Sus scrofa: one gene and its partner. The protein of the gene in region 2 purifies or fractionates together with the protein of the main gene of each other region. This does not show direct contact. Links are inferred from orthologs where the notes say so. Each region holds a gene or a part of one and is shown on either strand. Other genes may lie near its edges.

Evidence for each region.
Region 1: the proteins of DNAJA1 (region 2) and ENDOG purify together in Homo sapiens (affinity purification with mass spectrometry; 3 studies listed by BioGRID and IntAct, counting the BioPlex papers as one, with this or other methods). This does not show direct contact. The link is inferred for Sus scrofa from reciprocal best matches to the Homo sapiens genes DNAJA1 and ENDOG.

Annotation. Positions count from the first base shown.
Region 1 is NC_010443.5:269,144,823-269,161,480, forward strand, and holds ENDOG (endonuclease G, mitochondrial), read left to right. Parts: upstream 1-9,132; 5' UTR 9,133-9,321; coding exon 9,322-9,828; intron 9,829-11,003; coding exon 11,004-11,113; intron 11,114-12,350; exon of another isoform or gene 12,351-12,619; coding exon 12,620-12,902; 3' UTR 12,903-12,967; downstream 12,968-16,658. Other genes in the region: TBC1D13 (TBC1 domain family member 13), read left to right, coding at 330-540, 1,313-1,476, 3,753-3,913, 4,068-4,125, 4,995-5,060; SPOUT1 (putative methyltransferase C9orf114 homolog), read right to left, coding at 14,022-14,301, 14,467-14,569, 15,025-15,123, 15,226-15,298. UniProt on the Homo sapiens protein: Endonuclease that preferentially catalyzes the cleavage of double-stranded 5-hydroxymethylcytosine (5hmC)-modified DNA.
Region 2 is NC_010452.4:33,433,931-33,450,060, forward strand, and holds the start of DNAJA1 (dnaJ homolog subfamily A member 1), read right to left. Parts: upstream 11,144-16,130; 5' UTR 10,977-11,143; intron 10,441-10,976; 5' UTR 10,431-10,440; coding exon 10,299-10,430; intron 10,142-10,298; coding exon 9,964-10,141; intron 8,147-9,963; coding exon 8,042-8,146; intron 7,343-8,041; coding exon 7,115-7,342; intron 3,231-7,114; coding exon 3,116-3,230; intron 1,690-3,115; coding exon 1,574-1,689; intron 1,164-1,573; coding exon 1,063-1,163; intron 147-1,062; coding exon 1-146.

The DNA of each region.
Region 1 (16,658 bases), on a different chromosome or scaffold from region 2:
TTTTGTTGTTGTTGCTATTTCTTGGGCCGCTCCCGCGGCATATGGAGGTTCCCAGGCTAGGGGTCCAATCAGAGCTGTAGCCACCGGCCTACACCAGAGCCACAGCAACACGGGATCCGAGCCGCGTCTGCAACTTACACCATAGCTCACGGCAACGCCGGATTGTTAACCCACTGAGCAAGGGCAGGGACCGAACCCGCAACCTCATGGTTCCTAGTCGGATTCGATAACCACTGCGCCACTACGGGAACTCCGGGCAAACCTTTCTAATGAGGACATTTTCTCTGTCACGCCGCCCGCCCTCTTCATGGGCCCCTCTTGTCCCCCAGATGAGCTCCCCGAACAAGAACTCGGCATCCTCGTCCGTGAGCAAGTATGAGGTGCTGCCCAACGGCTGCGAGGCCCACTGGGAGGTGGTGGAGCGGATTCTGTTCATCTACGCCAAGCTCAACCCGGGCATTGCCTACGTGCAGGGCATGAATGAGATCGTGGGCCCCCTCTACTATACCTTTGCCACCGACCCCAGCAGCGAGTGGAAAGGTAAAGCAGTGCCCTCGGCCGCCCAGCCCTTGTCGCCGCCGCCTAGAAAGACGGACCAGGGAACCCTGGGCCGATGGGCTTTATCAAGCCGTGCAGCCCACGTCCCTGTTTTGGGCCTGTTTCCTCTCCCAGGCGAGGGGGTTGGTCTGCATCATCTCGGGGGTCTTTTCTGGCTCGAACGTTCTAGAACATGAGTGTGTGCTGATCTCTTGATGTTCGTAACTGAATTTCCGGTAGAGGAGCTGACTGATAGAAAGGATTTCTTTTATTTTCAATTTTTTTTTTTTGTCTTTAGGGCCAACCCTGAGGCATGTGGAAGCCCCCAGGCTAGGGGTCCAATCGGAGCTACAGCTGCTGGCCTCCACCACAGCCACAGCCACGCCAGATCCGAGCTGTGTCTGCCACCTGCACTGAGGCTCACGGCAACGCCGGATCCTTGACCCCCTGAGGGAGGCCAGGCATCGAACCCGCGTCCTCATGGATCCTAGTCAGGTTCACTACCGCTAAGCCAGGACGGGAACTCCTAGAAAGGGTGTAAATAAAGCGTGATGGGAGCAGCGTCGGCAGAAGAGGAGCTCATCAGTTGCTGAGCAGCGGCAGTGTTGCCGGAGCTGCGGGAAGAAGGGAGTGCCGACCTTAGCCTGGGGGTGGGGAGTGGTCACGGCCGGAGAGGGGCGCAGCCTGACCGAGGCAGGGTGACTCGGGGGGCTCAGAGCTGCGGCGGATCTCAGGGGGCCCAGCGGGGGGACCCTTACCCGCCCGTCTCTCGCAGAGCACGCTGAGGCAGACACCTTCTTCTGCTTCACCAACCTCATGGCGGAGATCCGGGACAACTTCATCAAGAGCCTGGACGACTCGCAGTGTGGCATCACCTACAAGATGGAGAAGGTGTACTCCACCCTGAAGGACAAGGACGTGGAGCTCTATCTGAAACTGGTGAGGGCCCCCAGGACCCCTCGGCCCGGCGCCGAGGACCGCAGGCCCCGGGGCCTCCCAGGCCCAGACTGAGGCCCGGCTCGAGTCGGGCCTTGGAAGTGGCTTCTGCTTCCTGGGTGGCTTCTACTGACCCGGGTGCCAAGGCGGGGCTGAGAGATCAAGGTGGCAGATGGTGGGAGCCCAGCAGGCTGAGGGGAGGGGGGCTACAGTGCCCACCGCATGCCAGGCACAGGGCAGGGCATCCACCATAGCAATTAGTTCAGCCTGTTAGAGTCTTCTGAGAAAGGAGGTATTCACTCCATTTTTCTATTGCTTTTGTTTTTTTGTTTGTCTTTTTGCCCTTTCTTGGACCGCTCTTGCGGCATTTGGAGGTTCCCAGGCTAGGGGTCTAATCGGAGCCGTAGCCACCGGCCTACGCCAGAGCCACAGCAACGCGGGATCCGAGCCGCGTCTGCAACCTACACCACAGCTCACGGCAACACCGGATCCTCGACCCACTGAGCAAGGCCAGGGATCGAACGTGCAACCTCATGGTTCCTAGTCGGATTCGTTAACCACTGCGCCACGATGGGAACTCCTGCTTTTGTTTTGTTTAAGCCTTGCCTGTGGAGTGTGAAAGTTCCTGGGCCAGGGATCGTACCTGTGCCATAGCAGCAACCACGGCTGCTGCAATGACAGTGCTGGATCCTTAACCCACTGCTTCACAAGGCAACTCCTGGTTGTCGTTTTGAAAGTTATTGGGGAGTTCCTGCTGTGGCACAATGAGATCGGTGGCATCTTGGGAGCACTGGGACTCAGGTTCGATCCCCGGCCTGGCACAGTGGGTTAAGGATCTAGCGTTGCTGCAGCTTTGGCCTAGGTGGCAGCTGCGGCTCAGATCTGATCCCGCACACATATGTCACGGGTGAGGCCTTAAAAAAAAAATTACTGGAGTAGCTGCCCATGTTTATTTCAGGAAACAGTTCAATAAAAAGAATATTTATAAATAAAACCAGTAGTTTTGTGGAGTTCCCGTCGTGGCTCAGTGGTTAACGAATCCGACTAGGAACCCTGAGGTTACGTATTTGATCCCTGGCCTCACTCAGCGGGTTAAGGATCCTGCGTTGCTGTGGCTGTGGTGTAGGCCAGTGACTATGGCTCCGATTAGACCTCTAGCCTGGGAACCTTCATATGCCGCAGATGCGTCCCTAGAAAAGACAAAAAAAAGAAAAAAAACAGTTTTGTGAACAAGAAAATACGTGTGAACATACTTTTTTATTTTTTTATTTTTTTTTTATTTTATTTTTTATTTTTATTTATTTATTTATTTTTGTCTTTTGTCTTTTTGTTGTTGTTGTTGTTGCTGCTATTTCTTGGGCCGCTCCCACGGCATATGGAGGTTCCCAGGCTAGGGGTTGAATCGGAGCTGTAGCCACCGGCCTACGCCAGAGCCACAGCAACGCGGGATCCGAGCCGTGTCTGCAACCTACACCACAGCTCACGGCAACGCCGGATCATTAACCCACTGAGCGAGGGCAGGGACCGAACCCGCAACCTCATGGTTCCTAGTCGGATTCGTTAACCACTGCGCCACGACGGGAACTCCTGAACATACTTTTTTAAACAAGCGGAGAATGAAGTCTTGCTGTCTTGTAACCTGTTTTTTCAGTCAATCATATTCACTGGTTGAACGGAGTGTCTGTTGGGAATAGTCGCCTGCGGGGTGGTTTTATGGAGTTTTATGGAGTAAGTGAGATGTTAAACACGAGGCCAGGTTTCTAGTGGGTGCCCTATAACTGTTTCTCAGGCCATAAACCCCAAGTTATCATCTGTATAGTGTCTTAAAAGAATTTGAGCCATCATTTATAAATCGAAGGAGCTTATGTAAAAGTTTGGGTGTCTGGAGTTCCCACTGTGGCACAGTGGGTTAGAGCTTCTGGCATTGCCGCAGCTGCAGTGCAGGTTGCAGGGGTGGCTCACATTCAGTCCCTGGCCTGGGCACATCCATATGCTGCAGGTGCAGCCATAAAAATGAAAAGAATTAAAAGTTTGGTTTTCTGGCTTTGCTCGGAACATCAGACGCTCTGGTCATTGCCTTGCAGCCCCTCCCCCTGAGCCAGGCTCCCCGTGCCATCTGCGGCGCGGTGTGCCTGGCGCTCACACCTGGCCTCGCCATGTCCTCTGTTGGGTCCCGGGCCTGCGGCTTATCTGAATTCACGTCTGATAGGCGGCGTGGTGTTCCGTGGCACCCAGCCAACGGGGGTTCTCGTGCCCCGCCCGCACCTCTGTCTCCCCAGCAAGAGCAGAACATCAAGCCCCAGTTCTTCGCCTTCCGCTGGCTGACACTGCTGCTGTCCCAGGAGTTCTTGCTGCCTGACGTCATCCGGATCTGGGACTCGCTCTTCGCCGACGACAACCGCTTCGACTTCCTCCTCCTGGTCTGCTGCGCCATGCTCATGTGAGTGTCGCCGTGAGCAGGGGTGGGCGTGCGGGCGGGGGGCTGCAGTGAGCCCCTGGGATTCTCAGGCGAGCAGCACACCAAACTGGCTTTGGGTGGTGCGGGAGGAGCGGGAAGGGGCCCCAGGGGCCCAGCACTCTTGTGTTTTTCTTAGACTGATCCGGGAGCAGTTGCTGGAAGGGGACTTTACCGTGAACATGCGGCTCCTGCAGGTAACGGAGTTTGGAGGGACTGGCTCAGTCTTAGGCTGTGAGACAGACCCTTAGCAGGCAACCCCCATCCCCACCCCTGCCCCCGTCCTCGTCCCCATGCCAGCGCTGTGAAAGGATCAGGGCTGTGTAGCAGATCCTAGGTGTCCGGACCCCTGAGCCAGATCTGGGTTTGGGTCTGGGTTGGATCCCGCTTTGCCACTGACCTTGAGTGTGGTGCGGCCTTGGGTGAATGACTCGGTTGCCCTGAACTGCGTGGTCTGGATGAGTAGGGCACACCTGGCACGAGCCTTATCCCGGGACGTGGTGATGAGGCTTGCTGGGGACCGTGTGCAGACCTGGTCGTAGTTGTTCAAGAGTCAGACAGCTTTGGGTTCACATCTTTGTCCTCCTGTGCCAGTCATGTAACCTGAGCCAAGTGGCAGCCTCTCTAGGCCTTGATCTCTTTGCCACCCCCAGGCTTGGGGTTGGTTTCCAGTAACTTCGTTGACTCAATCTGTAAAACGGGCCGATCCACAGTAACCCCTCATTGGGCTATTGTGACCCAGGGCACGGATGGTGTTCAGCCCTGTTCCAGGCTCGGTGTGAGTGCAGCTCAGGGGTCAGTGGCAGGAGGTGGGGATTGGTGCTAGGGAAGGGGCTCGGAGGTCTTTTGGGCGGTGATGGGTTGGGTTGGTTAAGTTAGGGCTGTGGGGGCAGCAGTGGCTTCAAGCAGGGTTTGGTCAGACGTGGTGCCTGGTGTGCTGTGGTCCCTTCCCCTGAGACCCCCTGGTCCAGCATGGTGGCAGGTCCCCTGGGGAGCCCCGTGGGTGGCAGAGGTGGTGCAGGGTGAACTGACTGGAGGGCCTGCTGTTGGCCTCTCCCCTGCCCAGGACTACCCCATCACAGACGTCTGCCAGATCCTACAGAAAGCCAAGGAGCTCCAAGACTCACAGTAGCCCTGCGGCAAGAGGCCTGAGTTTGGGAGAGAAGCCGCCACTGACGCCGCCACCACCACCACCACCTATGTCCTGACTCCTGGGACGCACAGGAGCCTATGGGGTCCCAGCTGGAGGGGCTGCTGCAGGATAGGCCTGCTACAGGCCTTGCACCCTGGCTGCGCCCACTGGGGCACACTGTGCCACACCCCTTACCAACCGCTGAGCCCGGCCCTGGCCTGCTTCCACCGGGACCCTTTGCCCAGGCTGCTGAGCAAGGCAGGAGCTCGTGACATTGTTGCCTGGGGCTGGGGCAGACCGGGGGCCCTGGGGCTGGTGAGGGTCCCTCCCGGCCTCTGCCCTGCTGCTCCCCTCCTCCTCTCCTGCTCTGTCCCCTGGGATCTGGTTGGGGAGGTGCTTGGCCAACGAGCCAGAAGCCACCTCTTCTGGAGGCTGGTGCTTGGGCTTCTCTACGGGGAAGGTGACACTGTGAAGGAGCTAAGAGTCTGCCAGACCCAGTCACACCCTCTGTCCCATTCCCACTGAGTGTGTGTGTGTGTGTGTGTCTTAATTCCCCAGGCGTCTGCTTCTCCTTGGTCCGTGCGTCTGTGTGTCCAGAGGCAGGTGAATCCCTCTAGGTCTCCTTGTCTGTCTCCTCACCTCTCCACCTCTGCCTCTATCCCTCTACCTCCTCCACAGAGGGTGTGTGTGGCTCTCGCTCTGTCTGCCCTTCTCTCTTGGGGTGCCTTATCCCCGCCTCTTCTCTCTTCTCCTCCCAACACCCATGAACCCTGGAGACAGAATGAAGAGTCTGGCTCAGCAGAGCTTCTGGAGGTCAACCTTGGCCTTTGCAGCTTGTTCCCATCCCCCAGCTCTCCACTCCCAGTGCCTCCCCACCACAAAATTCTTGGAAACCCAAAGCTCTGAGAATTGGCCAGTGAAGCTGCCCGGTGAGGCGGGGTGGAGCTAGCTGAGTCTCCCAGAGGTTCCCCCAAAGGCCCATCTCTCCCAAAGGAAAAGGACATTAATGCGATCCTGTGCTGGGGCTTGGGATCCAGGTGCTTCTGAGGCAAAGGTATTCATTCCTATGGCTACTGGGTCTGGGCCCAGGGCAAGTGAGCCCCGTACAGGGCAAGTGGGACCAGAGGGAGCCTCTCTGGGCCAGGCGGAGCTGAGCTCGATGGCTGGGTGCCATCAGGGCCGGGAGAGCCACGTCTCCCCCAGGCAGGGGAGCTGAAGGAGGTGCTGGCCCTCATGTGGTCACGTGCTTGGGCTGCTCCAGGATCTGGGGCAGGTGTGTCCTGGATAGGAGCAGCTGGCAGTTCCCACTGCTGGGCTGTGGGAAGGGTTGGCTTGTTCCAACCTAGTACCCTCCTCGTTTAAGGAGGCAGGTGGTTTGTGCCTGGAAGGCTGGGTCATGTAGCATGGGGCCTCTTCATCTCAGACTGGCCAGCAGGGGCCCCCAGCCACCCCCCCCCCATGCCTTCCTGAGTCATGGCCAGGATTTGTGGATGGTGGCCAGGAACAGCTTCCCCAGGCAGCTCCTGTCCAAACTGTCTCTTGGATGCTTGTAGGACTTCATGCACTTGCCTTTATGCCTTCTCCTCTTCCAACAAGGTATTTGAGAGATTTTTGCTATTTATTCAGATTCCTAGTTATTTATTGCGATTGGCAAGTGCTCGATTTGATGAAGGGTGGGGCTGGAAGGGTAGAAACAAGTTGGGGTCAGGGTCTTCCACTCTTCCCGCCTCTGGGACCTGCCTGATTTTCCAGGAGGTCCTGGCTGGGAGGACTCTGTGAGAGGACTAGGTGTGAGGGAGACAACAGCTGGGATCCTTGCCAGAGCCCAAGACCCCGGCTCGGGGCAGAGACACGGCTGCCCAGCAGCCTGGCTCACCCTTTTCCCAGAACTTGTTGCTGGTGGTTCAGCCCCAACTTGATCCCTTCACAGCCTGGGGCCCAGCAGACACTGCCCAGGACACCTGATGCATTCCCTCTTGCCCGTCCCTCTGCCTTCCCTCCCGGGGCCCTACTACTTGAATCACTGCATCTAATTTGTCTAAGCGGCAGGACCTGGGTCCCCTGCCCTGTCTTTGATCTTGTGATGAAGGTCAGAAGAGCACAGGGACCATGTCCAGTTTAGGCTGAGCTCCCCAGTGGGATACTGCCCAAGGGAAAAAACTGCCCTTGGCAATTCCCCCTCCCTAGACTCAAGGGAGGTCCCCAGAGAGCCAGAGACCCCCGGGCTTCCTGCTCGGGAAGCTGCCCCCAGGACTTTGGATACTTACAGAATGGCTGTTTGAGTTCAGCTGGTCTCACTCCAAGGGTTAGAATGTTAGTCTGCTTTTGTTTTTTCATTTGTTTTGTTCTTTGAATCAGTGCTGTTGATGACAAGTTGTCTTTAATAAATCATGTGTTCTTTGCAGTGGGCGTTGGTTCTGGGATGGGCTGGAAACCTTTGAGACCTTGGAGCTGGAAAAAACAGTTGAGCAGGGATGACGTCAAGAGGCTTTCAGAGGAGTTCCCATCGTGGCACAGGGGAAACAAATCCGACTAGGAACCATGAGGTTGCGGGTTCAATCCCTGGCCTCGCTCAGTGGGTTAAGGATCCAGCATTGCCGTGAGCTGTGGTGTAGGTTGCAGACGCGGCTCAGATCTGGCGTTGCTGTGGCAGTGGCGCAGGTCAGCGGCAACAGCTCTGACTAGACCCCTAGCCTGGGAACCTCCACATGTCATGGGTGTGGCCCTAAAAAGACAAACAAAAACAAAAAAAGCCTTTAGAGTAGGCAGAAGAAAAGGCTAGGAAATTTTTGTTGGAAGAGCATGAGCCACTCTTCTTTAATAACTGCAGTTTGTAGCTGGGGGAGAGGAGGCTGTACTGGGGCAGAAGGTGTTATGTTGTGATCGTAGCAAGTTACTTATCTGTTAATTTGCCGAAACCTTCGGCATGCGGAAGTTCCTGGGCCAGGGGTTGAACCTGCACTACAGCAGCAATCAAGTCTTTGATAACCCGTAGTCTGGAGAAAATCACTGATAACATGTTAGTCTTCTTCCCAGAGGTAGATTTTTGTGTGTAATTGTCACCTTCCTCATTTTCTTGTGTATTGTCTCACCCCTCAGGTTAGGTGCTGAGCAAGTTGCTGTATGATTTTAAAATATTTTAATGCACTATATACTATTTTAATATGCTAAAAATGTCTGAAACCAGTTCCTATGTCTGACTATTTTGCTTATTCCCCAGCCTCTATTATGAGTAGTACTGTGGGGAGTGTTCATGTTTGAAATCATTGCATTCGAGGTTTATTCCCCCAGCTCAGTCCTCTAAGTGAGTTAGAAGGTATGAACCTTTTTACGGTTTTCATGCAGACTGCCAAGCTGCCTTCCGGAATCCAGCCAGCAGTTTGTAATACCACCTGCATGCATCGCGGTCCTCACGCTGGGTGTTAAAATCTTTGCTGGAGTTCCCGTCGTGGCGCAGCGGTTAACGAATCCGACTAGGAACCATGAGGTTGCGGGTTCGATCCCTGCCCCTGCTCAGTGGGTTAACGATCCGGCGTTGCCGTGAGCTGTGGTGTAGGTTGCAGACGCGGCTCGGATCCCGCGTTGCTGTGGCTCCGGCGTAGGCCAGCGGCTACAGCTCCGATTAGACCCCTAGCCTGGGAACGTCCATATGCCAAGGAAGTGGCCCAAGAAAAATAGCAAAAAGACAAAAAAAAAAAAAAAAAAAAAAATCTTTGCTAATCTCCTAGAAATTTTTTGCCTTATCTTACGATGTAATGGTTAGGAGCATAGACTCCAGTGTCGTTCAGACCTGGAGTCTTGTCCTTGTTCTCCCTCGGCGCTCTTGATTAAATCGAGTCATAATACAGGCAGTGTAGACTAGTGCTTGACAGGTCTCTGGAGCTCTTGAAGTAGGACCTCGGCACTGACGCAGAAGAGGTGGGGCGGGGCGGAGCCAGCCCTGGAGCGGCCAGTCACGAGTCGAAGCGGCGATGCCACGCCCTCTCAGGGCTCCCTCTTAAAAGGGCAAAAGGCACGGGGAGGTCCCGTAGGGCCGCTCCAGACCCCCACTGTTGGAGTCCTTTGCACTTTGGGGCGGGCTTTGAGTGGGCGGGGCCTACGTTCCGCCGTCCAGTGCCTCCACCCGGCGCAGTCCCCGCGGTGGGCCCCGAAGGCCTGCGCGGCTCCTTTAAGAACTCGCGGGTCTGACGCCGGAGGTCGCGGCGTTCTTTCGGAGCTGCGGGCCGAGTGCCCTCCACAGCTCAGGCCAGAATCCACGGCCATGAAGTTACTGCGGGCGGGTTTAACCCTAGCGCTGGGCGCCGGGCTGGGTGCAGCCGCCGAGGGCTGGCGGCGGCAGCGGTGGGACGCACGGGAGGCGCCCGGTTTGCTAAGCCGGCTCCCCGTGCTGCCCGTGGCGGCGGCGGCCGGGCTTCCCGCCGTGCCCGGGGCCCCGGCGGGCGGCGGGCCCGGCGAGCTCGCCAAGTACGGGCTGCCTGGGGTAGCGCAGCTGAAGAGCCGCGAGTCTTATGTGCTGTGTTACGACCCGCGCACCCGCGGCGCCGTGTGGGTGGTCGAGCAGCTGCGGCCCGAGCGGCTCCGAGGCGACGGCGACCGCCGCTCTTGTGACTTCCATGAGGACGACTCAGTGCATGCGTACCACCGCGCCACCAACGCCGACTACCGCGGCAGCGGCTTCGACCGCGGCCACCTCGCCGCCGCCGCCAACCACCGCTGGAGCCAGAGGGCCATGGACGACACCTTCTACCTAAGCAACGTCGCGCCCCAGGTAGCGCCTGGGCCCCTCGCCCCTGCGGCGGAAGGCGAGGCCACCCACTGCGCGCCTTCGAGCCTCAGGCTCTCTGCAAAGCGGGAAAGCTGCCGAGGGTGCGCCTAGGTCAGGCGCCTGGCGAGTCACACCGCGCCGCAGGCGGGAGGGACCGAGGGATGGGGCGCTGAGCATCCACTCTGCACTCTGATCTTAACCCCCGGGGGCCTCCCAGATCTTCAGTTTCCTTGTCTGTAAAATGGGGATAAAACGGTTACTCACCTACCCCTTGCAGTAGCGCTGAGGAACTGAAAACACCATTCAGGTACAGAAAAGTACTGAGCACGCTTCCTGGCCCATGGCAAGCGGTCAGTACCAGCTATCATGAGGAAAGCGAGTCTCAGACACCGAGTGACCGGCCCAGTGTCACATGAGGGAGGAGACCCAGGCAGTCTGTCTAGAGGAACCTGAGCTTTCATCCATTGTCCTATCTGCCTTCCTTCCAGGAGTGACAGCAAAGATCCCTGCAGGCACTGGGTGTTCGTAACAGTCACTGTGCACCCTGGACTAGCTGCCCACCTCTAGCCGTGTTCCCATCCTGGCCTGACACGCATGTGAGGACGGATGTCAGGCTCTGATGAAGCTGTAGGGTCAGCTGTAGCCTCTGACCTGACTTGTGACCTCTCAGGAGCACTGTGCCCTCCCGGTTTGATTAGACACTGTCTGAGGACCAGAGGGTTCAGGTTCTGGAGCAGACTCATGACCTTCCCGGCTGGGCTCTGCCTGTGGATCAGTTGAGGGAAAAGGCAAGGAGAGGTGCCCAGAGAGCTGGTCTTCCCATGAGGCCCTGGGGGCGGGGCCGGCCTATTTCTGGAAGATCTGCCCCTTTCCTTCATATGGCTCTTTGGAGCCAAGAGACATTTGTGAGTCCTGGGATGCTTGTTCGGCCCTTCTAGATGGGGTTATGCTGGCAACCCCTCGAGCTCTACCTGGGCTCCACCCTCATGACCATGTGGCCCAGGTGTCTTTCCATCCATGAATCTGTTTCCTCTGCTTGTCCTCACCTCTCCCCTGCCCCCCCCACCCTGGAATCTTCTGGCTTGGTGCCAATGCCCCACCCTCAGGGCCTGGAGCAGCCCTCTGACAGCCTTGCAAGTGTCCCGGCCAGTCTCACTGAGGCCCACCTCTCCTGCCAGGTGCCACACCTCAACCAGAATGCCTGGAACAACCTGGAAAAGTACAGCCGCAGCCTGACCCGCACCTATCAAAATGTCTATGTCTGCACAGGGCCGCTCTTCCTGCCCAGGTAAGGTTAGACCTGGGGACACCAGCACTGCCCACTCATCCCTTCCTGATGCCCCCAGGCTTTTTATCCACACCACCAGGTCTCGTGGAGTTCCCGCTGTGGCACAGTGAGTTAGGACTGACTGCAGTGGCTTGGGTTGCTGTGGAGGCACAGGTTCAATCCCCAGCCCAGTGCAGGGGGTTAAAGGATCTGTGTTGGGAGTTCCCATTGTCACTCAGCAGGTTCCAAACCGACTAGTATCCATGAAGATGTGGGTTCAATTCCTGGCCTCACTCAGTGGGTTAAGGATCTGGTGTGGCTGTGGCATAGGCCGGCAGCTACAGCTACAAGTTGACCCCTAGCCTGGGAACCTCCATAGGCTGCAGGTGCAGCCCTAAAGAAATCATTTGGCTTCTCAGCATGTCTGCCCCTCCCTGCCTCAGGCCCTCCCAGTTGTACTCCAAGGTCGGAGGCCAAACCCACCTACCCACCTAGACCCCGTGTCCTCTGCCCCTGGGCACCAGGCCCCAAATCTGCCCCTGCTCCTTTCTGGGTCTTCAGTGGTCCCATCCACTCAACTGTGTCCTGCCCAGACTGAAACCCTTGCGAGAGGCGCTCACCTTCACTCTCCTCTGCTTGGAGCAACCCCCCCCCCGCCCCTCGCTTCCCCTGGAGCCCGGCTTTGAACTCCATGTCCCTAACCCTTGTCCCCCCACAGCCCAGCCTCCCCCAGGTAGAAGGGACCAAGCTCCTCTGGGCTCGCTCGGTGACTTTTCTGGCCTGCTGAGGGCTTGGGACCAGTGAGGCGAGAGGTTGTGGCCAAGCAGCTGGCTGTGCCTGGGATGGACTCTGGGCCCTGCCACCTGGTCTCTGGGTGCCCTGGACAGGTGACCTCCACCTTCTCTCCTGTAAGATGGGGATAATGCCTGCTACCTACATAGCAGGTGTTTAAGGGACAAAGTGGGTGTCACCCACTTTAAGGGAGGGAGGATGCCACCTCAGGAAGGCTCACCGTGGGCTTGCTGAGGCGGTGGCTGGGGCACAGATCCTCTTTAATGAGCCAGGGCCTCCCCTGGTCCATGGTCATGGAGCAGACTCTGGGGAGGGTCAGCCTGAAGTTGCCCATCCCACATTCCGGGCACCTGTCATGCCCCAGGCCTCTGCTGGTGCCAGGGATTCAGCCGTCACAGCTCTGCTCCCTTGGCGCTCACTCGCCACCAGAAGAGACGGTCAATCATCAGGTGTCCACACGGATGAATGTGGATGTTTCTTTCTGCAGTGTTTATTGTCACCACACACTCTGGCTGACCCAGTGCTGGGTGTGAGGGAAGCAGGAGAAGAAGCACGTCTACCCAGCAGGAAGCACCCAGCCTCCTGGGGGAGCCAAGCCCGGGGCCAAGAAGCCTCACTCTGTAGGGGCGGTCCTGCAGGTCCAGTCAGGGAAGGCTTCCTGGAGGTGGAGGCCCTTGGTCAGACCAAGCTCCCTGGGAGCGCTGAAAGGCCATGTATGTCTGGGTCTGCCCACAGGACAGAGGCTGACGGGAAGTCCTATGTGAAGTACCAGGTCATTGGCAAGAACCACGTGGCGGTGCCCACCCACTTCTTCAAGGTGCTGATCCTGGAGGCAGCAGGCGGGCAGATCGAACTCCGCTCCTATGTGATGCCCAACGCGCCCGTGGATGAGGCCATCCCGCTGGAGCGCTTCCTGGTGCCCATCGAGAGCATCGAGCGGGCCTCGGGGCTGCTCTTTGTGCCGAATATCCTGGCCCGGACGAGCAGCCTTAAGGCCATCACTGCCGGCAGCAAATAAGGGCCGCCCCAGCCAGACTGTGGGGTCCTGGGGACCAGGTTGAATGAAAGGTATTTATTTTTGGAGACAAGTCTTAGCTGTGTCTGTTCCGGGTGACCTGTGGGACCCTCTGGCTCCACTGCTGCTCCCTGGCCATCCTGGGCCCGACAGAACCTTCAGCTGGGCCGGGCACCTGCCTGGGTGAGGCCAGGCTGCAGGGCGGCCAGGGAGATGAGGATGGCTTCCTGGAAGAGAAGTGCAGCAACAGGCTGGCGCCTGGGAGGCTCCCGGGTGTCCCGGCTCCCAGGCCCCAGCCCCTTGGGGCGTGGGGCCCTCAGTGGGGCCTGGCTTTGTCTGGCAGATCTGTTGCTGGCCACTGCAGGCCCTGCCAGGAAAGGGCCTCACCTCTCTGCTCCTCAGTCTCCTCATCTGTAAAATGGGGCTGATCATCACAATACCTTCCCCCCTGGGGTCTGGAGACGGGGGAGGCAACGGGCAGGAGGACCCTCTGTGTAGCTGTCAAGGGGGGGAGCAGGGCTTCCTGCTGGGGGGCTGTGGCTGACAAGCTCAGGGCACCTGGCCCAGCAGGGCTCTTGGGGACAAGTAGACGGAGGCTGTCTCCCTGATGAGTCTCCAACCTTTGAGCCCAGTGGAAGCCAGGGCACCTTGCCCTAGTAGGTGCCACAAGCACAGCATTCTGTGCTGTCCTCAGAAGTTGGGGCCCAGGTTGAAGGCTCTCAGAGCTGGTCCCCTCTTGTCCCCATTGCGACAGAGGTGCCAGTGAGGGTCTGTGAGGAGGGCTGCCCTGGAGGTGGAACACTAAGGAGACAGCCGAGGAAACGAGCCTGGAGCGGGGCTGGGCGGGGTCTCCGGGGTCAGCCAGCCTGGGAGCAGCTGGATGGGTAGCAGCGCCCAGGATTCTTGACTCCTAGCTCACTTGTTTTTTTTTTTTTTTTCCGGCTGCACCCATGGCTTGCAGAAGTTCCCAAGCCAGGGATGGAACCCATGCCACAGTAGCAACCAGAGCCACAAAAATGACAACACCAAGTTCTTAACCCGCTAAGCCACCAGGGAACTCCCTGCTGCAGTTCTGCTGTGGTGAGAGGCCCCGTGGGTGAGACCACTCCCAAGAAGGCTGGCTCAGGGCGGCCGTGGGTGGGGTGGGGACAAGGAGAGTGGTGCAACCCCCCCATGGACAGAACCCGAGGCTCCGGCCCCTTGCTGGTGGCTGAACAGGCTGGGCCTGGAGGCCAGGGAGGCAGGAGGGCTCACCTCTGTGCGGATGGTGCGGCTGCCCTGGCTGGGGCAGGTGTTGACATACAGGTCGAACAGGACACTGGGTTCAGCCACCTCCAGGTTGGGGTCAGCGTCCACTGCCGCTTCCAGCCCCTGGAGGCCCCCAAACACCACGAGAGCGTGCCTGGCACCCACAGGAGGCAGATCAGTGACCGCCCACCAAGGCCCACTGAATGCAGCCCCCCAGAGCGCTCAGGCCCCCCATACGCACCAGGGGCCCAGACTGTATGGCTTGGCCCCCACCTGTCTGGTCCCCCTGCTCCATTCCTCTTCCCCTGGCTGGACCCACCTGAAGTTGGGAAGCTGGGCGGAGGCCACATCCGAGCCTCGCTCTGATGTCCCAATGGTCAGGTCATAGCCGTCCTGGAAGGGGGCCTCAGCAAACACAGCACCTGCAGGGAGGCCAGCTCACTGGGGGCCTCGTTCCCCACAAGCCGCTTGGCTGTGTGTACTGGGGTGGGGGGGATGCCGAGGGGAGGGGAGATAAGCGAGCCACACCCAGGCCCAGACCCTTCACTCCTGGGAAGCCAGGGATTAAGCAGGCAGAGACCAAGCCTGGGCTGGCCTGGGACAACAGAGCAGTAGACATTTAACTTGTCTGGTCCTTTGGTCCCCATTCCCAGCCCCATGGCAGACACTATTAAAGATGCTTCTCAGACGTCCCTCAAAGCATGCCAGGCAGTGCACTCAGGGAGACCAGGGACCAGAGAAGGAATGGCACTTGTCCAAGGACACACAGCACGACAGTAGGATTAGGACTCTGGGCTGACTTCTGGGGCAAGCAAGGCTGTCTGTGGCCTCACAGCCAGAGAGGATGTATATGCATAGGAGGAAGCTCAATCCTTACTGAGGCAGGAGGCCAGGCGGACGGTGTAGCCCCAGTAGAGACCAGCTTTGGTGCGGGGGTCCTGCGACGACACAACTTTTCCACGGTAGGTCTTGCTCTCTGGGGGGGAAAGCAGAGAGGCTCTGAAGACAGGACAAGGAGACAGGGAAGGAGGAGGCTCCCAGTTTGCAGGCTGGCTGGCCCGGGGACACGTTCAGATACCTGGAAGCTGCTTCTGGTTCAGCCACACTGTCACCCGAAGTCCAGGCTCCAAGTTCTTGTCGATTTTCACTTCCTGGGGAGAAGCCAGAAGAAATTGGTGCTGTTCCCTGCAGGACAGCAGTGGTCGCTGCTCCCCAGATATGGGGGCACTGAAGGGGGTCCAGGTCAACCTTCACGCCCTACTCCCTGGCCCCTGGGCCAGACTTGCTCACAAGAGACCATTCTTATTCTATTTTTTTTTTTTTTTTTTTTTTGCTCTTTAGGGCCCCACTCGAAGCACATGGAGGTTCCCAGGCATCTAATCAGAGCTACAGCTGCCGGCCTACACCACAACCACAGCAACGCGGGATCCAAGCCACGTCTGCAACCTACACCACAGCTCACGGCAATGCCGGATCCTTAACCCACTGTGCGAGGCCAGGGATCGAACCCACAACCTCATGGTTCCTAGTTGGATTTGTTTCCACTGTGCCATGACGGGAACTCCCATTCTTATTCTTTTTTTGGATGCTCTGTGGCATGGGGAGTTTCTGGGCCAATGGTCAGATCATTCAAGCTGCAGTTACAACCTATGCTGCAGCTGTGGCAACACCTGATCCTTTAACTCACGGTGCTGGGCTGGGGATCGAACCTGTGCGCTAGTGCTCCGATCTTGTTATGCCACAGCCAGAATCCACAAGAGACCATTTTTGCAAAAGGAATACCCCCAAGATATTAGTCAAAATGAACGGCCCAGGGAGTTCCCTGGTGGCATAGTGGGTTAAGGATCTGGTGTTGTCACTGCAGTAGCTCAGGTGGCTGCTCTGGCATGGGTTCTATCCCTGGCCTGGGGACTTCACATGCTATAGGCTCGGTCAAAATAATAGTAATAATTTAACAATAAAAAAATGACTGGTCCAGGCCTGGCACAGAGTAGGAGATATTTCATACATGGATGAAATCCTAGTTTCCTACATTTTGGTGGCTGTGCCATTTACTAGCTTTAGGAGTCTGAGCCGTCACTGAACCCCTCTGAGACTTAGTTTCCTAATCTGTCAAACAGAAGACTTCCCATAAACAATAGCTATCATTACAGTGCACGGGACCTGGCGTGAAATACATGCTGCATACATGGGGCCGTGATGGACCACTGCTGTTTGCGTTTTGTCCCCATTTTGCATTCAGGACGGGGCACGTTCTTTCCCTTTGGAGGGTTACTCATGCGTTCCCCCTTTTATCTGGGTCCAGATTATCCTGGTCTGCGTTTATATCAAGTCTGTTCTTTTGGAGGAGGCGGGGGGACCAGCACACGTTTAAATGTTTCTGCCTCTGACTCTAGGAGACTTGAGATTAAATAGGTGGCAAATGAATGCTCCAGTTCCCAGCTCGGCATCATGATGAAGCAGCCCCAGAGGGTTTTTTTTTTTTTTTGGTCTTCTTGCTATTTCTTGGGC
Region 2 (16,130 bases):
CGTCGTCTCTCCTGATTTGGATCAAAGTCCACTAGTTCTACCTGGTCCATTTCATCAGTCTCTTCTACTTCCTTCCTCTCAGGTAGGAGTTTTTCCAGCAAAGAGAGTTTATCAGGGGAGAGAAAACCATTCTCAGGAAAGTTCACCTGTAAGGAAAAAACTCCCACTGTAAGTTCAATTGATTTACTTCATCCTTAGCTCCTTAGACAAATTACCACTGACCCATTTTCCCCCTCCCTCAAACACATGTAACCACATAGTATTCTGGTAAACCTGCCAATCCCAGGTTAGAATACACATTCTATAAAGGCATATATCACCTAGTACTCTGAAATCAAGTTCAAGGCATACATGAAGTCTTAAAAAAAAAAAAAAAACCCTAGTAAGACTGCACTATAATAATCACTGTTCTATGCAGCAAGTACTTTATTTTTCTTTTTGCTTTTTCTAGGGCTGCTCCCGTGGCATATGGAGGTTCCCAAGCTAGGGGTTGAATCAGAGCTACAGCTGCTAGCCTACACCACAGCCAAAGCAACTCAGGATCTGAGCCGCATCTGCAACCTACACCACAGCTCACAGCAACACCAGATAACCCACTGACAAGGCCAGGGATCGAACCCGCAACCTCATGGTTCCTAGTCGGATTCGTTAACCACTGAGCCACAACGGGAACTCCCAAAGATGTTTTTAATAAATGTTAATAAACGTTAAATGGTTCTGAGGGCACAAAATTTTAGATTGAGGGAATGGCTTTAAGAACCATTCTATTAATAGCATTACAGTATTTTGACAAAAATTTGAATTCTATTTCCTTTCATTAGTAAAATACCCACCACTTGCCACACACCCCCCCTTCCTCTGCCAGTCTTTCAATAGCCAATAATGAGGCCAACAAACCCAATTCCAACTTTTTAACAAAGAATGCTCAAAAGGACATAAGTACTGTTAGATCTGGGAAAAGAATATACATTTTATGATTCTGATCATTCAGAAACTGTAACTGCTAACAAATTTTAATAAACTAGTCATTCTCAAACATTCCTAGAGTACTTTATAGCTTACCTTAAATTCAATAATTAGGCGACCCTTTTCATATGGTCTACGATAAATTGGCATGCCTTCATTTAGCACACACTTGATATCTCCATGCTTGACAATCTGACCTAAAAACAATGAAACCAAATACCTCAAATATAGTCACACTTTTTTTGGGCTGCCCTGATACATACGGAGTTTACCAGGCCAGGGATCAGCTCCAAGCCACAGTTGTGACCTGTGCATCCGGCACAGAGACACCACTGATCCTGCTTGCAGCATAGTCATGCTCCTAGTCACACTTTTATGACGCAGAGAAAATAAACAGAAATGTCCTAGCTCACTGACAAGTAAATTTATGGGAAACAATCCTGATACCTTTTGTTTTTGGATCTTCTAGGGGCTTCCAAGACAGCCAAGAATGCATGATTTCAGCTCAAGGATGCCTATGTACTCAGCAGCTTTTCTATGCCTATATAGTTACCAGCAGACTATGAAAACACTAGAATAGAAAGACAAGCTTATCTAGTTACCATACCTGGATGAGAAGTGATGACTATGGTTCGGTTGTCAAGAGTAGATATCGGCTTTTGGAAGCCACACAATGCCTCAACCAGCTGTATGTCCATACACATAAAAAGGTCTTCTCCTCGTCTGTACAATATAAATATGGCATATACTTATATCTTTCAAATCGCTAATGATTACAAGCACCAAAGCAAGAAACTGTTTTAAGATGCCCTTTCTTTCTGATTCTTGAAACAGAGCTGAGAACTGGGAACAGCAAATACATAGAACCTGCCAGCACTGTGTCCTCAACAAGGCTTCAGATCCCCATCCCTTCCCCGCACAGTCTAGGTGGAGAAACACACCGAAGGCTGGATTCCAGATAATTTAGAGTCTGAATTAAATTATGGGGATATGGCCAATTTCATAGGACAATGAGAATTTCTTTGTTGATATACATGAATTAGGGAATACAGTGCCTGGCACATTATGAACACAATCTTTTATATTTGATAACAGCCCACTGCCTCCTCATGCTTGCTTTCTTTTCCCATTCATACTAGTAATTTTTTTCATCAAGCAGAATACTTTCCAGAAATAATCTTGAGGATTCACCTCAAATGACAGAATCAAAATCCTAAGCTTGATGGCATTTTCCATGATTGTTCCATAATTCAAAACCTGTTCCTTACATGTCATTCCCAACAGACTTACTGGAACCCAATTCCAGATGTTTTTAAAATTAGCCATGGATTTATTATTTAACACATTCACTGTTAACCAATCTTCCTTGTGCTTCACTATAAGTTCATAAACAAAATTAAGTATTTCACATAACAGACCTGAATTAACTTTTTTATACAGAATATTTTAAACATTTTTTTTAAATATAAAAAAAGAAACCCAGGATTGAAGAAAGTGAAACTCAGGATTTAAGAAATTGGTGAAAGCTTTAGGGCACTTACTTCAAAACTAACTGCTTAATACAAATATTGGTGACAGCTTTATCTAGGGGATGTTTCCCCAATCCACCTGTTTATACTCATATAAAACATCTCCTGGGAGTTCCCATTGTGGCTCAGTGGTAATAAATCCAACTAGGACCCATTGAGGATGTGAGTTCAATTCCTGGCCTTGCTCAGTAGGTTAAGGATCTGGCACTGCTCTGAGCTGAGACAGAGATCGCAGACATGGCTCAGATCCCATGTGATGTAGGCTGGCAGCTGCGGCTCTGATTCTGCTCCTAGCATGGGAACTTACATATGCCACAGGTGCAGCCCTAAAAAGAAAAAAATAACTCCTAATTGATCCTTCAAAATCCAGATTAGGCAACAATTAACCCAAATTTAGACCAAAAAAACTTAAAATCTGACTCTCTGTTAAGACAAACATAAATGATTAACAATCTTTTGGAGAGGACAACACTACATAGACTAACTCTCCTTCTATACTTTCCTAGGGTAGTTCCAAGAAATGGTTCTAAAAGTAGTGAAAAGCTCATTTAAATAAGAAAAATGAAGGAACCCCTCTCACCCCCCAAGTATCACTTTGAGTATTTGATAAAAGTTTTTACCGAGTAAAAACGGCATGGTCCTTCTGATCTAAAACAATGATAATGTCTCCTGGCTCCAGTCCTGGTTCTTGGTCTCCCTCACCATGGAATGTTATCTTCTGGCCATCTTTCATGCCTAAAAACAAAAAGCTAATTTTACACTCTTAACATCCAAGGTCAGAATCTCCATCTACAAGAAATACAGATGCATGTTTGTGTGTACATGAAGAAATTGTTCAAGTCCATATGGATGCTAAAGTTTTGGAGAATTTACCAAAAATACCCCCAGTCCTACTTCTTACTGAAGAAAACTCTCATAGTGGAGAACACAAATTCTAGAGGCAAACAAGCAAATCAGGCTTCAAATCTCAGAGCTATTTACCAGTAGGCTGGATTACCCTGGGGAAGCAAGTTGCTTAACTTCCTAAGCATCAACTTTCCCACAGAGACCTACCTACCTCTCCATTAGAGCTCTTGTGAGGACTAAAAAAAGAGGTCTACACTGTCACCAAATCAGTGGTAAACATCATAACCATAAATGTTTCAATTATTTCATCACTTTAAAAAAACTTAGTCAAATTATTTCTATCAAGTCTACAGAAGCCTAAGTCAGACTCCCCCCCCTTACTGTATTAGCAATGTTTACATATAGGAAAGCAATATATAAAACTTAAAAAAATTAAAAGTCCATAATTGTTTTGTTAAATGATTTTTAGTCTTTTCTTAAAGAAAGGATAATTATGGCTTAACACTTTCAGACCATGTGGTTAGGGTCAAAATTACAGAGAAATGTTGGAGTTCCCTTTGTGGCTCAGCAGAAACGAATCTGACTAGTACCCATGAGGACCATGAAGACGAGGGTTCCAGCCCTGGCCTCGCTCAGTAGGTTAAGGATCTGGTATTGCCATTTCTGTGGTGTAGGCCAGCAGCTATTGCTCTGATTAGATCCCTAGCCTGGGAACCTCCATATACAGCAGGTGGGGCCCTAAAAAGGAAAAAAAAAAAAATTACGGAGAAATGTGGAATTCCCACTGTGACACAGTGGGTTAAGGATCTGGCATCCTCTGCAAGTGGCTCAGGTCACTGCTGAGGCATGGGTTTGATTCCTGGCCCAGTGGAGTGGGCAAAGGATCTGGTGTTGCTGTAGTGAGGTGCAGCTCTGACTCAGGTTCAATCCCTTGCCCAGGGAACTTTCATATACTGTGGGTGTGGCCAAAAGAAAAAAAGAGAAAAACCCCAGCAAAATTTTTCCAATAGGGCAAACATTTCTTAAACACCAATGTGTTTACTGAGATTACCTCTGGCTCATGTATCTTAGTTCACTAAGGATTCACTTAAGCTAACACCTCTTTAAACAGAACTCATGTTTGCAAGTCATTAGACTGCAGCAGTAGCTCCAGGATTCCTGAACCATTGAGCACTGAAATCACCCAACAAAAGCAACTTTGTTTTACTATTACAGGAAGTACTGAACTTATATAAAATAGTCAAAAGTACAAAGAATTCCTAAATATTCATCAATATACATCTAGTAATTATCAGCTCTTGACTAGTATTTCATGTTACATATACCTCCACCCACATTCCATGTATTTCGAGTCCAGACAGGCCAATTACCCCAAATACTTCAGTATATACCTCTAAAAAGATAGACTTAAACCAAAATACCAGTATTATGCACTGATGAAACTAAACAATCTATCTTTAATCACAAAGTAACTGTGTCTCACTATACTAGTGAAGCAATTGAACTCAACCAGTTTTGCTGGTTGTTCCATTAACATAAAGAGCACAGGCTAGTGCAGCGTTCATAAATGGCTTCACTTACTACTACTGCCTCCTGAATACATACTTTTGGTAGCAAGAAGGGAACTTTACTGGACAGGGAAAAATTCAAATCCTACTAAACATGGGCCAATTAAGGGGAGAAAAATGGAGGAAGGAGTTCCCTGGTGACCTAGCGGTTAAGGACTCCATGTTGTCACTGCTATGACTTGGGAATCCACATGCCCTAGGCATGGCTGAAATTAAAAAACATGGGGAGGGAAGTACCGTGATTCACATGGGGAGAAAACTATTGCAGAGACTTAAAGTAGATGTGTATACTGATAAGATGTTCATAAGTACAGTTCCATGTGAGTATGTACAATGTATTATTACTTTTATTTTTGTGTGGTTTTTAATTTTTCTGCTTTTTTTTTTCCTAGGGCTGCACCTGTGGCATGTGGGAGTTCACAGACCAGGGGTCAAATTGGAGCTGCAGCTGCAGCTATGGGCCTATACCACAGCCACAGCAATGCCAGATCCGAGCTGGGTCTCCAACCTACACCACAGCTCACAGAAACGCCAGACCTTAACCCACTAAGCAAGGCCAGGGATTGAACCTGTGTCTTCATGGATACTAGTCCAGTTTGTTACCCCGGAGCTACCACAGAAACTCTGTATGTTTCACTTTAAAATAACAAAGTCTCTGGGAGTTCCTGTTGTGGATCGATGGTTAACAAACATGACTATGACTAGGATCCGTAAGGATGTGGGTTCGATCCCTGGCTTTGCTTAGTAAGTCAAGGATCCAGCATTGCTGTGAGATGTGGTGTAGGTCACAGATGTGGCTCAGATTCTGTGTTGCTGTGGCTGAGGTGTAGGCTGGCAGCTGTAGCTCCAATTCGACCTGTAGCTTGAGAACTTCCATATATGCCGTGGGTGTGGCCCTGAAAATATAAAACACAAATAAATAAATAAATAAATAAAATAAAAATAAATAAAAAATAGCAAAGTCTGGAGTTCCTGTCATGGCTCAGTGGTTAACAAACCCAACTAGCATCCATGAGGATGCAGGTCTGATCCCTGGCCTTGATCACTGGGTTAAGATCTGGTGTTGCCACGAGCTGTGGTATAGGTCACAGAGGCAGCTCGGATTCTACATTGCTGTGGCTGTAGTATAGGCCAACAGCTGTAGCTCTGATTAGCCCCCTAGCCTGGGTCCCTCCATATGCCATGGGTACAGCCTAAAACCAAAAAAATAATAATAATAATGAAAAAATTTAAAAATATAAAAAAATAATATAGCAAAGTCTGGAGTTCCCACTGTGGCTCAGTGGTAACTAACCCAACTAGTACCCATGAGGATGCACATTAATTCCCTGGCCCCGCTTAATGGGTTAAGGATCTGGTGTTCTGGTGAGCTGCAGGAAAAGTCCCAGATGCAGCTTGCCACTGGCATGGCTGTGGTGTAGACTGTAAGCTGCAGCTTCAATTTGACTCCTGGCCTGGGAACTTCCGTATGCCACAGGTAAAGGCCCCCGAACCAATGAATAAAATAGCAAAGTCCGAATGAGCTAATCATGTTGATTTTTTTCAGAGTAGCATAATGTATTCTGGGGTTATACACATTTTAAGAATTTCTACAATGAGGAGTTTCCATTGTGGTGCAGTGGAAATGAATGTGACTAGGAACCATGAGGTTCCGGGTTTGATCCTGGCCTTGCTGGGTTAAGATCTGGCGTTGCTGTGAGCTGTGGTGTAGGTCACAGACACAGCTCAGATCCTGCGTTGCTGTGGCTGTGCTGTAGCTCCGATTTGACCCCTAGCCTGGGAACTGCCATATACCTCGGGTGCAGCCCTGAAAAGCAAAAAAAAAAAAAAAAAAAAAAGAGAGAGAGAGAGAGAAACTACAATGGAAAATAGACACTGATCTAATACATTTTAAAATATTTTTTACTAAATTAAAATTTAAAAATTGGCAAAATAAAATATCCTAATATTGAAAAGAAACTCTTAAGTTATATCCTGGAACCCAAAAGGCAGAAACTGATAACTTGTGTTTAACTTGTAAAAACCATTAGAAAGTAGTAATTATAACCTAAGTCCTCACAAATAAGTTAATAAATCAAAGTATATCACCTGTTCCTGACCCTATCAGCTCCCAAGGAACGAACCCCTATTAGGAAATAAAATATAATGCTAATAAATTTGACATAACACTCAAGAATTTAAAATAAGAAGTGGCTCACAACTCACCTTTGTCAATATGAACTTCTAGAATTTTCTTTTCTCGAACTATCTTCCTCCCATTGCAACTTTTACATCTATCTTTAGGACTGATCCGCTCCCCATGGCCCTGGCACTCCATGCACACAGACTGAATTTGCTGAACCATTCCAGGTCCTATTTGATGAATTCTTATTTGCATTCCAGTACCTCGGCAATTGGGACAGCATTCTACTGCTCCTTTCTTACCACCTCGGCCTAAATAGTTTAAAAAGAAATTGTTTATATTTAGTATCCAACACAGTGATGAATGTTTTAATGAGACAGTATCTAAACACTCTGCTTTGTTAATACTTTTAAGGTCTAATGGAATGCTGCCTTAAGAATCTACAATTCAGCCTTTTTATTTGATACAACATAGTCCCAAATGAGCTTCGGTTACCTATAGACATCTTGACTGCTATTTTCCCAAGGAACCATTTCAGAATTTTTAATTTTAAACATGTGCTTCCAAAGCACAATTCTTAAAGACTACTTTAACTGCGAGAACATTTTAAGACTTTATTCTCTTTAGAAAATCTATTTCAAACAAGTAACTTGTATTTACTTGAAAAAAGCTTAGAGGTTCAGAGCCAATAATTTGACAGCTCTGGACTTAAAAAGAGGACACTTTAAAATCATATGAAGCCACTGCAATGCCTCTGAAGTTCTAGAGAAGAAAGGAAGTACTCATCTCTGAACAATGTTGAGAAAAAGGGACACCAAATTAGATCCCACCTGTGTTCAAAATATACACATAAAAGTGTGATATTTTGCAAATATTTCTCTAGGAGGTAGGTTCGGGTGGTTTTCAGACTTGCATTCTCCAAGATCTAGGTAGTGCAGTATTTGTCAGTTTTTATATATCCAGAAAAGCTTTGGTCCCATTTCAGTTCTATTACAAGCATTAAGACATACCTTCACATTTGTCACAAATCACATTCTTCTGCAGAGCTAGTTTTCTTGTTGCACCATTATATAAATCTTCTAAAGTTACTGAGAGTTGATGCACAACATTTTTACCTAGAACAAAATATTACTCATTAAAAATCTAAGATACTGCATCTTTTTTTTTAATGCAATCAAAAACATTAACTATGAGTTCCTGTTGTGGCTCAGTGGAAAAGAATCTGACTAGTTTCCATGAGGATGTGAGTTCAATCCTGGCCTCGCTCAGTGGGATAAGGATCCTATGCTGCCTAGAGCTGTGGTGTAGGCTGCAATTGAGGCTCAGATCTGGCATGGCTGTGGCCAGCAGTGCAGGTCTAAATCAACCCCTAGCCTGGCAACTTCCATATGCCTCGGAGTGTGGCCCCAAAAAGCAGAAACAAAAAAAGGTCACTGATAAGCTTGATAAATCCTTAAAAAAAAAAAAAGTTAACTGCAAAATCAACTGAGAAAACCAATGTTACTTAAAACACAATTATTTGCCAATAAATCACCCCAACTGCTCTTCTGTCCCAACACATTCTATGACTCCTTCACTTACTATGGTATTTAGTGAAATTACATCATCCAAAAAGTCTTCACACACTAAGTTCCAAAAACTCATCAAGTTCAGCCAGGAAAGCTGATGTATTTATCCTGTCTCCATATAGGAGTATCGATCCAGAAATGCGCATTTACTGCTGAGCCAGCACTAACTGTTTAAAGGCTAGATTTCTCATTCTTTACCATAGTGCAGTCCAATAAAACTTTCTGCAGTGACGGAGATGTTTTATATCTTGTGCTATACAACAGTAGCCAGAAATCACACATGGTTGTAGAGCATATAAATATGGCTACTGCAGACTAAATAACTGAATTTTTATTTTTAAGATAATCTAAATTTGATGCAGCCAGTGGCTACAAAGGAGTGACATATCTCATCTAGGAATGAGAACTAGAAGATGGCGATCATATAAGGACAGAGGCTACAGAATGTACCTGCCAATGGTTAATAAGTTTCTAACTAGTGATTCTTCCTTCCACAAGGACTTTATCCACCATGAAATACTGCCTTACGTCTAAGTGGGAGAAATTCTCAAACTATCTGATCGACATGAAAAGTAAAGTACCATTACCTTCCTCTTCTAGACCCACCTTTGGCTTCTGTATCACAAATATAATTCTATGTGATTAATTCAGGCATGGTAACAGCTGCCCTTAATTCAGCTTTGTATGTTTCAGAATATAAGAAATAAAGCTTCTAAAATTTAAGGAAAACTTTCGAATTATCACACTTAAAAAATAACCTTTCATTGATCTAATACACACAAAGAAGAGTTTGCCAATCAATTGATTTTGACTGGAAATTGTTTTAAGGTAAGTTTCTTAATATGGCACGTATTTTAGTACAATACAACTGAAGGTAGATTAAACAGAGACCAAGCTTTTTGAAGGCAATGAACCTGTGTTCCAATCCAGACTCTGATGCTGGCTATATGTGACCCTGACAAATATTTAGGATTCTGAACTGTAACTCCCTTCGACTGGGTGTTATTCACTTTTGACTACATCCACTATTGGGGTTGAGGAGTAGGTGTGTAAGTTCTGAAAATCAAAACATATAAAAAGGGTTTTGAAAATTTTATGCTCCTGTAACTTTATTCATTTAATGCTTGACAACTTCAACAAAGTCCTATGTATCTGAAGAGCTTTAGAAACACTCATTTGTTAGCACCCTATTGGCTATTTTTAGTTTCATCCAAACTCATTTTAAAAAACTATCATAAAATGTTTACAGTCAGCTTGCAACATTACACTAACATGTGAACAAGCATTTAATAATATGTGAATTCTCAAGAATTCGCTTTAACCAAATTGGCTAATTTGCTATATGTGGACTAAGTCATTCTTACCTCTCCTTTCTCTCTGCATCCTTCCTCCTCCTCCAAAAAACATATCAAAGATATCCATGGGGGAGCCAAAACCACCACCTGCTCCACCTTCTTTAATTGCCTGTTCTCCTCCTTTATCATATAATTCCCTTTTCTTTGCATCAGAGAGCACTTCGTAAGCTTGAGAAATCTGTTTAAACTGTGTGAGAAAAAAGGGGATAAATTTCACCAAAAAAACTCAACTGTCACAAAGCACAGCCACTGTATTAGACATACTCAATTTCATGTTGTAATGGAAATACCATACACCTGGCAAGAACTACCCAGTTATGTTAAAGTGTGAGTATGGTACTCGCCTTCTCTCCTTCATTTGGATTCTTATCAGGGTGGTACTTCAAGGCCAGTTTCCTGTAAGCCTTTTTCAATTCTTCTTGGGTGGCATTGGGTTTGACCCCCAAAACATCATAGTAAGTGGTTTCTTTCACCATTTTCTACAGCCTGAAATAAAAAAGTTCAATTTTAACTACTTTCAACTGGTAGTTTTAATTAGTAAAAATCAAGAGTTTAGGCAAAGAAATTTGTTCTTTGCCAAATCTGATCATAAGAACATCACCTTCCCTAAATTTCACAGAGACGGTAACAAGTCCTTTGATAATTCAGCCATTAAATTCTAACAGACTAAATATAAGCTAATAATTATCAGGGAATAATTAAGAAACCTCCCATACTACTTTGTTCCCACTTTCCACCTGAAAACCTCCATCTCGATTCTTCCTGTCTCCCCTCCCCATTAATGACAGGGCAGTAAAGACAAGACGCACTAATAGGTTCAGTCCACTGTCATTATCATCTTTGGTAAATCTGATAAACCATACACTTCCTAGAAAAGACGTCTGGGCACAAGGCGGGGAGGAAGCTCCAGAAAGCAAGCTCCCCTCCCCCTCAATCCTGAGACTGTTTCTCAATCACAGGACCTACAGCTTCTCTGCTTTGAACGCCGAACCCCTCTTGCCCCACAAGCCAGCATAGCTTACATGTTCTTAGGTTTCCCCCTGCACTTAGCGCCGAGCGTTGGGCTTCCTTCCTTTCTTCCTCCGACTCAGGAGCGAAGGGGTGGGAGAAGCCCAACCCTCAACAAAGAGAAGGAGGGGAGACCGGAGATGCGAAAACCGCAGCCTCCGCCAAGCTCCTCCCGCAGCCCCTCGCCCCTGGCTCCTCCTGCGCGTGCGCGCAGAATCGCCCCCACCCCCACCCCACCCCCAGCGAGGGCGGGCGGAGGGAAACCCGGAGGCGGCAGATCCTTGGAGACCCCCGGCTAGATAGGCGAGGGGAAAGCTTCTGGAACGGTATCGGGCCCAGCCGTTGCGCACCAGCAAGGGCTGCCGGGACACCCCCATCAATTCTACAGAAAGGGAATCGAGGATACAGGAACCGACAGCCCCGCAGCCCACGCGGAGCCAACCGCCACTTGACCGCGGCTCCATCCCAGTTCCCGGAGCCGCTAATGGCGCAGGCCTGGGGACCAGAGGAAGCGTGAAAGCAGAAACTCACCGGTGAGCGGGCCGAGGCCGATGTGGGGGAGCGGGAAGGAGCGCGTTTCTGTGCGCAGCTCGGGCAGCCGCCGCTCCTCCGCCTCTCACCGAGCGTTCTGGAAAGTTCCGCCCGGCGCGCCGCAACCGTCGTCTTTTGTAGCCGAGTCGCGGCGCGTCACCCGCCGGAAGTCCCACCCCCTCCGGCTGCTGCCACCGCCCCGCGGTTACCTGGGCAACGGCGCGGGGGTGCTCGGAGTGGGAGGGACTCAGCTGAAGGGCCTTGTGGGGGTGGGCTCAAGACTGGGTTCCTGCAGCTCGTAGAACTTTCTGGATCCCCTTCCTCCACCCAGCGGGCCCTAAAGTCTGGAAGTCTTGGGCGGGAACAGGGATTTGCCCAGTAGCGCTGCGATTCCGTTCCGGGCCAACTCAGGATTCACAATCAGGAGAGCCGCCGCCACCGCCGCTTGCTAGAGCTCGGAGAGCTGGGGAACAGGGACGCTGGCCGGGGCGGTGTGCGGTACAGGAATCTCTCAGAACAAAGCCTTGCCGCACCTGCTCTCCGCCGGCGCGTTTGACACCGCTTTTGGCGTCTCTAACCGGTTTAGTTTCTTAGACCTGAGGTTCTGGGAAGCCATGGAGCATGAACTTCTGATCAAGACGGTTGTGGGCTCCTGAACAGTCTCAGGCCTTGGATCTTGCTTTTTTTAACGCGCTGTCCAAAGCCTCGTAATTCACTGAACTGCGAAGTTGGAAGAACCCTCCGTGCAAGTTTTGGCCCCTGTACACACGATATATACTTTGGGCCTTGTAATACGTTGTGCTCAGGCAGCTCTAAACAGGGAAACGTTTGGAATACTTTGGTGCAAACCCAGGGCCTTGGAACCTCTCAGGCCAGGCATTCACCTGGTTTGGCTAGCCTAGGCACAGTAACACCAAGAGTGGCAAACTTTTTTTTTTTAAATAAATGTTATTAGAGTTGACTTATAAACATGTTTCAGGTGTCATCAGTTCACTTGAAATCAGTATATCAGTTATACATATAGCCATTCCTCATCAGATTCTTTTCCTACATAGATTATTACACGGATGGTTTTAATTATTGGACCTAACAATTAAGTTCTACCAGTCTGTGAGTCTGAATCTGTAGTTTGCAAAATGAGTCCTTGGGGCTTTCAGATGTTGAGCCTGGGGCATAATGGCAAATGTGGTCTGTTTTCTTTATTTAATAACAAAACATTGGAGTATCTAGCATCGGAGAAGATGTAAAGTTGAATAAGCTCTGTACACATTTTAGTAGGGAGACGAGAAGTGAACTAACTATAAGGGAAGTGGAAGATAGAGTTCAGCGAGGAAAGATCTTGTATGTTCACTTGATGGAACAGAGAAAGCTCCTTTGGGAAAGTGGCAGTTGAGCTGAGTTTTGAAAGAAGAGGAGTATTCCCAGAAAAGGACAAAGTGCAAGGGAACCTAAGGTTAAGGTGTGAAAGAATATGATGCTTTTAGGAAATTGCAGTTATTTGACTATAGCCAGAGCTAAGAGCTGGAGTGACAGGAGGTGAGGCCTCAGAGGTAGTTGGAGAGCACCTGTTGGTGTATCTTACTCAACTAAGGATTTTGAACTTTACCCTGGAGTTATCCCCAAGCTTATCACCTCAGCCTTATCTCTTTAAGTTGTCACTATCTGCATTTTCCCAAATGCACTTTTTCACCTGTTTTTGCTTGTGCTCCAGCTGACAAACCCTTAACATTTCCAATCTTAGGTGTTGCCATCTCAGATATCACCTCAGGTATAAAGGGCTTTGTTTTGTTTAATCAGCAGTTACTAAAAGTTTAGTACTGGAGTTCCCATTGTGGTTCACCAGGTTAAGAACCCAGCTGGTATCCTTGAGGATGTGGATACATCCCAGGGGACACCTCTCAATGGGTTAAGGATCAGCATTGCTGTGAGCTGTGGTGGCAATTGCAGATTGCTGTGGCTGTGGTGTAGGCTGGCAGCTGCAGCTCCAATTCAACCCCTAGCCTGGGAACTTCCATATGCCTCAGGTACTAACCCCCCCCCCCCACAAAAAAAAGAAAAAATAAAAGTCTAATATTGCCAGGCAGTGAACTAGGGCTTGATAATATAAAAATCACCTAAATTCTTGTCCTGCCCTCAAGGATGAATGCCAATGTTAAGCATATGAGGTAAACATCAGTATGGTGTATATTAAATCACATCAACCAAGATTTTCCACAGTGAATGTTACCATGCTTAGTGTTTCTTAAATGTTACCATGTTTAGTGTTTCTTTTTGCCTGAGGAACCCAAGTGAAATTCATACAAGTATTAGAAAGATGAAAGTGTGATACAAACATGAAGATAGCTTAGAACTAATAACTTATCACTCCAATGGCAAAGTTAGGTGATGCTTAGTTGTCTTAAAAAACATTATTAGAAGTTCCTGCTGGAGTTCCTGTCGTGGTGCATTGGAAACGAATCCGACTAGAAACCATGAGGTTTGGGGTTCTATCCCTGACCTAACTTAGTGGGTTAATGACCTGGCGTTGCCCTGAGCCATGGTGTAGGTCACAGACACAGCTTGGATCCTGTGTTGCTGTGGCTGTGGTGTAGGCTGGCAGCTGTAGCTCTGATTTGACCCCTAATCTGGGAGCCTCCATATGCCTCTGGTGCAGCCCTAAAAAAGCAAACAAACAAACAAACAAATTCCTGCTGTGGCACAGTGGGTTAAGAATTTGACTACAGTGGCTCAGGTCACTGTGGAGGCTAGGGTTCAATCCTCCACAGCTCAGCAAAATGGGTTAAAGTCTGTTGTTGCTGTAGCTGTCGTGTAGGTCACAACTGCAGCTTGGATTTGATCCCTGGCTGGGGAACTTCCATATGCTGAGGGTATGCTACAAGGGAACTCCCTTAAAAAGAATTCTTATTTACATAAAATACAAAAAGATTAGCAGTAATTTAGAATATGATCTTTTTCGGTGAAGAAATAGGATCATTTTTTACGTGTTGTTCGCAATTTTCCCTTTTCACTTAATTTATTGTCATCTTACCATGTCAGGATAAATAAGTCTGGCTTGTTGTTTTTAATAACTTCATAGCGTATAGTGTGTAGGTGCTATAATTTATTTAACCACTCCCCTATTGGTGAGCATTTTGGTAATTTCCACTGCGTTATGAATAATGTTGCAGAGAAATTCTTAAATATACCTTTGGGTAATTGTGAAAGTATTTCTGTAAAACAGAAATGGCTTTGTCAATGTGAATGCAGATTTAAAATTGAATAAATAACTTTCCATGTTGGTTTGTACTGTCAGCAGTATGTGAGTGGGCCTTGCCTATATGGGAGGGATCTTTTTTTTTCTTTTGTCCTTGCTAACCTTTTTTAGAGATTAAAAAGTGATATCTTTTATTTTAATTTAAGTTTCTTGAATAGTGTAGTTAGCATCTTTTAGATATTTACTGACTGATTTTTCTGTCAACTGTCTATTCTTACCATTTGCCCACTTTTCTCTGGTGTCTTTGCTATTTTAATAACATATAATAGCACTTTTATATTAGGGATAGTAGGTTTTAGTGTGTCATATGTTGTGGTTATTTTCTCTAGTGACTTCATGCCTGTATCTATATGTATACATTTTGGCTGTATTAAGTTTTTAATTTTTACGTAGGTAATTTTTGATTACTTTCTTTTTTGGCTTCTCGGTTCTTTTCTTCTCCCTTCTTTTCCCCTCCTACTTCTCCTTCATTTGCTATGTTTAAAAGCCTTCACCAGAGTTCTCTGGTGGCTCATTAGGTTAAGGATCTGATGTTGTCACTGCTGTGGCAAGGGTGTGATCCCTGGCCTGGGAACTTCTGCATGCTGCAAGTACAGCCAAAAAAGAAAAAAAGCAACTCCACCAGTCCAACATTATGAATGTTTACATGTATACTCCCAGGTTTTTTTCTAGTGCATTCATAATTCCTTTTTTTTTTTTTTTTTTTTGGCTGCACCCATGGCATGCAGAAGTTCCTGGGCCAGGGATTGAACCTGCACCACAGCAGTGACAATGCTGGATCCTTAACCACTAGGCCACCATGGAACTCCTCATGAATCCAACTTTTTTTTTTATAACCACACCTTCAGCTTATGGGAGTTCCCAGGCCATGGCTCAAATGCATGATCTTCACCACAGCTGTGGCAAGACCTGATCCTTTAACCCACTGGGCCATTGCAGGGCCTTCTGTGATTCTGTTTTTTTGTATTTAAGTCTTTATTCCACCTGGAACTTCTTTTGGTATAAGTCTGAGGGTTATTTGTAACTGAGCTTTCTTTTTCTCCAGATGGTGAGCCAGTTTGTCTAACTATTTTAATACTCTTGTTTTTCCTAACTAATGTGAAATGCCACTTTTACTGTATACTAAATTTCCTTAAAATACATTTTACTGTCTAGTGGGCTTCTTTCCCCTCATTGCCCCTCCTTTTTACAATTTTCCTGGCATTTTCTAGTATTTTTATTCTTCCAGATGAGCTTAAGAATATTTCTGGCAGATTCCTCCAAAATCCCAATGTGATTTTGCTTAAGATTACCTTACTTTTATATATCAGTCAGTTTGGGGAGAATTAACATGTTTATATTGTTGAATCCTGCTACTTGTAAACAAGTTATGTTGTGCACATAA